Caenorhabditis elegans: one gene and its partner. The protein of the gene in region 1 purifies or fractionates together with the protein of each later gene. This does not show direct contact. Each region holds a gene or a part of one and is shown in the gene's direction. Other genes may lie near its edges.

What was found.
Region 2: the proteins of chn-1 (region 1) and unc-45 purify together in Caenorhabditis elegans (affinity purification with western blotting, with the first as the bait; one study listed by BioGRID). This does not show direct contact.

What each region holds. Positions count from the first base shown.
Region 1 is NC_003279.8:6,180,787-6,185,562, reverse strand, and holds chn-1 (E3 ubiquitin-protein ligase CHIP), read left to right. Parts: upstream 1-1,706; 5' UTR 1,707-1,716; coding exon 1,717-1,775; intron 1,776-1,821; coding exon 1,822-1,912; intron 1,913-1,965; coding exon 1,966-2,034; intron 2,035-2,082; coding exon 2,083-2,181; intron 2,182-2,228; coding exon 2,229-2,435; intron 2,436-2,656; coding exon 2,657-2,869; intron 2,870-3,864; coding exon 3,865-3,927; 3' UTR 3,928-4,249; downstream 4,250-4,776. Other genes in the region: GPI mannosyltransferase pigv-1, read right to left, coding at 13-100; T09B4.2 (Torsin-1B), read right to left, coding at 328-418, 484-697, 806-1,109, 1,156-1,476; putative mitochondrial import inner membrane translocase subunit tin-44, read left to right, coding at 4,723-4,776.
Region 2 is NC_003281.10:490,011-494,557, forward strand, and holds the start of unc-45 (UNC-45/Cro1/She4 central domain-containing protein), read left to right. Parts: upstream 1-1,536; 5' UTR 1,537-1,538; coding exon 1,539-1,627; intron 1,628-1,678; coding exon 1,679-1,806; intron 1,807-1,852; coding exon 1,853-1,979; intron 1,980-2,396; exon of another isoform or gene 2,397-2,825; intron 2,826-3,558; coding exon 3,559-3,637; intron 3,638-3,706; coding exon 3,707-3,835; intron 3,836-4,344; coding exon 4,345-4,547.

The sequences.
Region 1 (4,776 bases):
GCGTTTTCTCACCTTCGTACGTATCCGTACGTCTCTCTAACTCGATAAATTCTTCCTCAGCTGCACGTTTAACATCTCTCCCAGGCTCACGTCTACGCATCCTGTATTAATCATTTTAGAAAACAGATCAATAAAAAAATAAAATAGTGACAGCATTTTTAAAGCGAATATACGAGATTTATACGAACATGTAAAACTTTTACTATTTTTATTCAATGAACACAGAATTCCTTGAACTATTTAGCTGATCTTGTAAAACCTTGGATTAAATTACAGAATTAAAAAATAAAAACCCGTGAAAAATGAAGGTAATGTACCGGCAAAATTTTAAACACATAAAAAATAAGAAATTCGTGCAATAATCGGTGGAATGTTGTCTGAAGAGCCGCCGTTCTCAATCCAGCGTTTCGTTAGAAATCTGTAAGTGCGAAAATTGTAGATCAAAAAATTTCTTAACTATTTTGATCTACAAAAACCACTTACTGGACCATTTTCTCATCACAACTTGTGTTGGCAATGTCCATCGTTGAATCTTGTTGTGAAGAAACAGTCAGAAAAAGTATTGTTTTGGGAACTGGATATTTTCCGTGATCTGAGAACGCATGAAGAACAAGAACTGCATCCCATTTTAGCAGGTCTACATCCAAAATCACAGCTGTTCGAGGTGATGATTGTGAAATAAGAGCGGGTCCGAGGACTGAAATAATGCATTATATTTTCAAAATTCAGCGAATTTTCACATTACTTTGGAGATGTTAAAAAGTTATTTAAACATAAAATATTATGAGGTTCTGAAATCACTCACTTTCCTGCAAATTCGCATGCAACTCGGCTCTATCAGTGTCACTTTCCACTCTAATTGATGATTTTCCTGCCGTAGTATGCTCATCACTTTTAGCATCTTGAACAGCTCGATTCACAGCTTCGGCAATTTGTTTGGCCGGTGTTCCCCCAACAAGAACAACCAACGGAGCATGATTTTCTGGTTCCAAATAGATTTTCTGCCCGATTAGTCTTAAGAGATCCCGATTTTCTTTCGAAATTGTAGGAAACTCGTTCTTGATGACAGATCGGACTGATTTGATGTAACTTTCATACGATTCGTTAGTCTAGAAAATTGTTAATTATTCCGATACCGCGTGTAGTTTTACCAACCGTAACTTTGCTTCCTTTAATCAATGCTCCCACAACAATCGCAATGAAAACTATTCCAATAACAGTCCAGTATTTCCATTTTTCATTCACTTCGTTACATGACACATCGGATTCTTCTGATCCATGTGAGCTACTGAAACTCAAATCCGCATCTGTGAAATCATTTTCATCTTGTTGCTCGCTAGTCTTTTCGGTTCTTGCATTACTTATTTGTTCAGTTAGATCAGGATAAAGCCTTGATGAACTATCGAGACTCCTACGTTTATTCGATGTTGGTATGTAATTGGATGGAGTTCCATATGATTTTCTGGTTTGCACCATACCCTGAACTAAAACGAAAATTGGAGCAGAATTTGAAAAAAAAAAATTAAACTGTTAAAAAAAAACATAAATATAAAAAATTGCGGCAAAAAACAAATTTTGGCTTGGAGCGAGTACACCGCAAACACCGCAAGCTTAATTTGCACACAATGCGTCAGAGCTTACGCGCAACTCTATCCGCATCATGCTTTTCAAAATCGATTTTTAGAACAATTTCCGCTTATTTTCAGCGTTTGCAGCATGTCAAGCGGCGCCGAACAACATAATACTAATGGCAAAAAGTGTTATATGAATAAAAGGTATTTTCATTTATGTGTAATAAATCCCATGTCTTTGAACTTTCAGATATGACGATGCCGTTGATCACTATTCGAAAGCCATCAAAGTAAATCCTCTGCCGAAATACTATCAGAACAGAGCAATGTGTTACTTTCAGGTATTTATACTTCGATTAAAACTTTTCTTTAACTTTTGTAATATATATTCTAGCTTAACAACCTCAAGATGACTGAAGAAGACTGCAAACGGGCACTGGAACTGAGCCCAAACGAAGTGAAAGTAAGCTTTCAACTCTTGAAGTTAATTAGTTATTCAATTCATTTTCAGCCTTTATACTTCTTGGGAAATGTATTTCTACAGAGCAAAAAGTACAGTGAAGCAATAAGCTGTCTCTCCAAAGCGCTCTACCATAATGCTGTTATCACGGTAGAAATTTTTGAACGGCGTTTATTAAAACGGAATTGTGGTTTCAGAACGCTCCAGATATTGAGAACGCCCTCAAACGGGCACGCCATCAAAAGTACGAGGAGGAGGAGTCAAAGCGAATTGTACAAGACGTTGAATTTCACACGTATTTGGAGAGCTTGATCGAAAAGGATCGTCAAGAAAATTCTGAAAACCCAGAGGAGTTGCAAAGAGCAGATATGGCTAAAAAACGTCTAACCGAACTCACTTTAGCGGTAAATACTTTTTCTTGAAAGTTTTTTGAAACTTTAGTAATACTATTCCCAAATTCTTATATCTAAGCGTTTCTAATTCGAACCAAACGAGTTTCCGAATCCTGCCAACTTTTTTCAACCGGTTCAAAATATACTTTCAGAATTAAGCATACTAAACTATCGTGAGTGTAATATTTCCTAAATCACGAGAGATCAAAGAGAATCAAAATATCATTTTTTAGACACAAGAAAAACGGCAAAACAGGGAGGTTCCTGAGATGCTCTGCGGCAAAATTACACTGGAACTGATGAAAGAGCCGGTGATAGTTCCATCTGGAATCACGTATGACCGAGAAGAAATTGTGCAGCATTTGAGAAGAATTGGCCATTTCGATCCAGTCACAAGAAAACCACTTACCGAAAATGAAATTATTCCGAATTATGCACTGAAAGAGGTTGGAAATTTATACAGGGTGGGCCAAAAGTATGGTAACACGTTTGCAGCTCTATAACTTTACTAGTGGAAAGAGTTACTACATCAATTGTTACAAGTTTTGTTCTCCATAAAATACTGACCAGATGAACGTTTTGAATTTTCAAAATATTCCCATCCGCATCGCTGCAGGCCTTCAGAACTTTTGAGATCACGACCTTTATGGCACGCAAGTCGGCATTCTGCGGGATTTCTACATTTTTCTCGAGGAATCCATCAAGTGCCTTACAAGTTTTTATAGTTCAAAGAATGCTCTTGGTCTAGAGATTCTATAAAAACAAAAATCCAAATAATTTCTATCACGGTATTTCTGTCATGGACTGCGGCAGTAGGTTAAGTCTTGAATGGCATAGTCGCCAGAAAGATGGATGTGAGCGGCGAGTAGCAGTATGCAGAAAAATTCATTTTAGTATTTTTCGAGACGTTTTGACCTGACTTTCCAGAATTTTTTTAGAAAATTGAGCTCGGATGATTTTGTGGGACGTTACGCCTTGCGAAACCAAAAAAACTGAGTAAATTTCGCAAAGTTGAATTCATGAAATATTCAAAGGTTCTTGCTAGGCGCCAGTGTCGACACAGAAAATTTTTATATGCCACAAAAACAATTAAAAACGCTTCTTCACTTCTTTAACTTTAAATTTAACATAAAAATCATACATCTGAAAATTATTGGCGTGCATGGGAGGTGTGTTTGTGTGGGAAGTGCCGCGTGCCAAATTACCGTTTTTTCGAAAGGGTTCGCCAAATTGTCGAGGTGATAAAGATCGCACCTTATTGGGAAACATTACAAATTTTGAGTCAAATTGAAGGAAATTTATTCAGCTATCAGTATTCGATAGAAGAATGTACGTATGACGTGGCAGTCACGCGAAAAGCTCATGTAAAAGAGCGCTTCATGTGTTACCATACTTTTGGCCCACCCTGTAATAAATTCAGTTAATTTCTAATGATTTTCAGGTTATTGAAAAGTTTCTTGACGACAACCCATGGGCTAAATATGAACCCGGAGGCATGGTTTAAATACTATTCAGAATATTGAAAAATTCAACATTAAACATTCCTGGCTGCTTCTCAATGCAACTTCTTCACTTTTCTACATGTTTCAGTTCTTTGCATTTTTTTTTCGGATTTTTAAACTTTTATTGTTTGAACGCTGTACCCTCCTTTTCTGTTCTACCGGTATTTGTATCTTGGTGTATTTTTTAGCTTTAGTTTTCTTTCAAAATTCCATTGAATTTCTGGTAGAAAGTGCACTTCAACTTGTCGCTTAGTTCTCAATTTTACTGCTAAAAGTGAGATTCTGTAAATATTGTATGAAATAAAGAGGTGTGATGCTTTTCTTTTCATTTTACAATTTTTTTTATACCAATAGGAAGGTCTATAACCTACTATCTACGTGACTTTGTAAATAAAATAAATAAAATCGGGAAGTTTTCAAAATTGCATCACTGGGAGTGCGGGATTGCGGAGTGTCGTTGTGAAATTTAGACGGCATTTTTTTCCGTTTTTTCAATTTCGAAGCTGTTTAAGCTGAATTCTGTTCGAAAATTTGTTGAAATAAAATGCAAAAAAGAATTTTTGTTCACAAAAAATGGTTATTTTCATTCTCCGGGCATTATTATTTTTGTTTGCAGAGTTTTAGAATAACTGTTTAAAAATCCTTGATGTTTAGATCTGAAAAGCTTTCAATGGTTCAGAAGAAATTATAATTAAACCGAAATTAATTAATTAAATTTATTATTTGAATATTTCCCGCACAAGTTCCATTCTTGCCTCTTCTTTATTGAACTTATAATGTGAAAAATTATTCTTCAGATGTTGTCACGAATTTGTGGAAACGGGATACGATTAACTCGGACAAGACTTCAA
Region 2 (4,547 bases), on another chromosome or scaffold:
AAATCTTCACATGATTTGCTCACAGTGCATGCACACAAAAAGTTATAAGATCTGAAGAGAGACGCAGACAGATTATTCAAACAGCAAGGGCTCCCACCACCGGAGAGGATCTGCGGATTCCGCCGTAATTTTACACTATCCGTCGGGGGCCGGACACTACTACACTGCCCTTTCCGCTGAACAGACGTTTCTATTCGTTTTTCATCGATTTTTGCATAAAGTTCGGGTTTAGTGGGTTTAGTAAACCTAAGAATTTCTAGGTTTTTTATGAATTTTAGGTCCTTTTTTTGAATTTATATAATTTATTTTAATGTAAATACTATGAAATTTTTATTTTGATTTTTTCCGAAAAAAAAATATCAAAAATTCCAGAAATATTTCAGCCGACCCATAGCCGCCGGGTATAGCACTAGAGCCTCACGGCAGTACATATTTATTTAGAAACTCTAGTATTCCACGTGAAAAAATATATTTAAATATACCAGAAATTTTGAAGGAGTTGACGACTACAGTACTCCTTAAAGGCACACGTTTTTCTGATTTCAAGAAAATTTATCGGTTCGTGCCGTAGTTTTTGAGAAATCCGAGTGCCGTAGTTTTTGAGAAAAAATTTTCCTTGTGGTTGCCCATATAATTATTTTCATGACGAAAATCTGAAACGATGTTTTATGGGTCTGCTAAATATTTATCATACCCAACTTTGGTCTGCTAAATATTTAGCATACCCAACTTTGGTCTGCTAAATATTTAGCATACCCAACTTTGGTCTGCTAAATATTTAGCAGACCCATTTGGGATATTGAGTTTATCCTGAAATGATGATTTCCTTTGTTTAAATCCACTCAAATTCCGTTTTTTCTCTGAAATCCTCTAATCCCCTGAAAAAAACCTAAAAATATATTTTTTTTACTATATAAATTCGGATTTTTCCAGAAACCCCACATATTTTCGACTTTTCCCGAACTTTTCCCACTCGTTATCTCTATTTCTCTTCTATTCCCTAGGATATCTCTCCCGCCTGGGAGCTTTTCGAAAGCTCCAGAGCACCTGGGCGGAGCTCCCGCGGCAACTGGATTTTTTACCGTTATTCTTCATTCATTTTTCCAGGACATTAACAAATTTTCTTGCAGTGAAAATTTTTATTTCAAAAAAAAAGAAAAGAAAGTCAATTTTAGGATGTTATACATCTCCAAAATTCGTTAGTTTTAGCTTTAAAATCAAAGTTTTCATAAAAATTAAATTTGAAATCCCTCCAAAAAATAGTCTGCGCTTCACACTCTCTAACACGTGCCGGTGGAGCGCGCTTGCATTTTTCCTTTTTTGTTAATTTTTTTTTGCGGGAAACTTTTCGGGAAAATTACTCTAAAACTCAATAAAAACAGCTTTTAAGTGCATTTTTCTTGAAAATTAGTTTCAAAAATGATATTTTAATCAGTTTTACACCATTTTTGTCGATTTTTCCTCTTTTATCCGTCGAATTAATAGTATCTCCTGACAAAAATAATGATTTTATAGTTTTTTTTTTTTGGTTTTCAGCAATGGTTGCTCGAGTACAGACTGCGGAGGAGATCCGCGACGAGGGAAATGCTGCAGTTAAGGATCAGGATTATATAAAAGCTGATGAATTGTTGGTTTTTCTGAAATTTCAGTGGAAAACTGAAATTAAACTGATTTCCAGATACACTGAAGCTCTCCAACTCACCACTGACGAAGACAAGGCTCTTCGGCCGGTTTTGTACAGAAATCGAGCAATGGCTCGGCTGAAAAGAGACGATTTTGAAGGAGCACAATCGGATTGCACGAAAGGTTTACAAAAAACCTGGAAAATTTGCTGAAAAACCTAAATTTACAGCTCTGGAATTCGACGGGGCCGATGTAAAAGCTCTCTTCAGACGATCGCTGGCTCGTGAACAGCTTGGAAATGTTGGGCCAGCTTTTCAAGACGCAAAAGAGGCTCTGAGGCTCTCGCCAAATGATAAGTGCGTGGAAAAACTAGGCGAAAACCGATGAAAATTAAAAGAAAAATAATTTTTTCTGGCACTTTCCAGTTATATTTCAAAGTTTTTATGACCAAATTTCAGTGAAAAATGCAAAAGTTGCAAATTTTGGGTCTGCTAAATATTTAGCAGACCCAACCTCCCGAAACTGATTTTTAAAGCTAAAAATTATTAGAATTTTCAGACGTTTCTCTCCGAAATATAGCATGCCAATAGAAAAATTGACAAAAATCAAGGTTTTCTCATCGAAAATAGCAAAATAACTTTTAAAAATCTACAGAAACTCACAATTTTTGTTTAAAATGCCAACATTTATAAATTTTCTAAATATTTAGTTTTAAATTTGTAATTTTCTCACTTTTTTCTGTGAAAAAATATGCAAAATGAAACTGAAAAATCCACTAAAACATGTTTAAAAATTTATCTTGAAGAAAAACGTAGGAAATTTCAAATTTGCAGCTAAAAAATCAGCGAAAAAATTTTTTTTTCAAAATTTGAGGAGGTTGGGTATGCTAAATATTTAGCAGACCCAAGGAAAAATATTTAGCAGACCAAAGATAGGTATGCTAAATACTTAGCAGACCAAAGATAGGTATGCTAAATATTTAGCAGACCAAAGAAGGGTATGCTAAATATTTAGCAGACCCAAGGTGGGTATGCTAAATATTTAGCAGACCCAAGGAAAAATATTTAGCAGACCAAAGATAGGTATGCTAAATATTTAGCAGACCAAAGATGGATATGCTAAATATTTAGCAGACCAAAGATGGGTATGCTAAATAATTAGCAGACCAAAGATGGGTATGCTAAATAATTAGCAGACCCAAAGAAAAATATTTAGCAGACCAAAGTTGGGTATGCTAAATAATTAGCAGACCAAAGTTGGGTATGCTAAATATTTAGCAGACCAAAGTTGGGTATGCTAAATATTTAGCAGACCAAAGATGGGTATGCTAAATAATTAGCAGACCAAAGTTGGGTATGCTAAATATTTAGCAGACCCAAGGAAAAATATTTAGCAGACCAAAGATGGGTATGCTAAATATTTAGCAGACCCAAGGAAAAATATTTAGCAGACCAAAGATAGGTATGCTAAACATTTAGCAGACCCAAGGAAAAATATTTAGCAGACCAAAGATAGGTATGCTAAATATTTAGCAGACCAAAGATGGATATGCTAAATATTTAGCAGACCAAAGATGGGTATGCTAAATAATTAGCAGACCCAAAGAAAAATATTTAGCAGACCAAAGATAGGTATGCTAAATATTTAGCAGACCAAAGATGGATATGCTAAATATTTAGCAGACCAAAGATGGGTATGCTAAATAATTAGCAGACCAAAGTTGGGTATGCTAAATATTTAGCAGACCCAAAGAAAAATATTTAGCAGACCAAAGATAGGTATGCTAAATATTTAGCAGACCAAAGATGGGTATGCTAAATATTTAGCAGACCAAAGTTGGGTATGCTAAATATTTAGCAGACCCAAGATTTTCTCACAATTCCACTTTTAAGCACTTAAAAATTCAATAATTTCACTCAAATTTCTATTTTTCAGAGGAATTGTTGAAGTTCTTCAGCGTCTCGTAAAAGCCAACAATGATAAGATTAAGCAGACCACTTCACTGGCTAATAAGGTTGGTTTTGTGACCTGAAACCACGAATTTTAAATGAATTTTCATTGAAAAACCCCGAAATTTTCTCAGGTAACTGACATGGAAAAGCTAGCGTTCCGTGGTGAGGCGAAGGACACCGAACAGAAAATGACTGCGTTGAACAACTTGTTGGTTTTGTGCAGAGAATCTGAATCCGGAGCAACAGGAGTTTGGAATCAGGTATAGTTTTGGAAGCTGGACGAAAAATCTACATTTACTGGGAAAATTTAATGGAACTTAAAAAAAAATTTAAAAAATGGAAATAAATTGAAAAATATACCGTATATTTGAAAAAAAAATGCAAAAAAAAACTGAATTTTCTAGATTTTCAGAGCAATTTTCAGATTGTTTTTCGAAAAATTTTGCAGTTTTTATCTAAATTTTTCCGATATTCCTTAAATTTAATTGTCGAAAGTTCAATTTTAATTTTTTTAAAGAAATTTTTTTAAACTGAAAATTGTAATTTTTTGTAGATTTTTAAAATTTATTTTGCTACAACGAGAAAACCTTAATTTTTGCCAATTTTCCGATTTTGTAGAAACATTTGAAAATTCAACTTTTTAGCTTTTAAAAAATCAGTTTAAAAAAAATTATTTTTCAAAATTTTAATTTTATCAAAGTATCCCGAATTTGAATATTTTCCTGCAAAAATACCCAAAAAAAAAATTCTAATTTTTCCATATTTCCAGGGCGCACTTGTTCCATTCGTCCTGAACCTAATCAACGACGCATCGGAAAACGAGGAGGTTACCGTAACCGCAATCCGAATTCTCGACGAGACCATCAAAAATAGCGTCAGATGCATGAAATTCCTAGCTATGCACGACCCAGATGGCCCAAAATCCGTCCGTTTTGTGTGCCGGCTAATGTGCAAAAAATCCACAAAAGACTT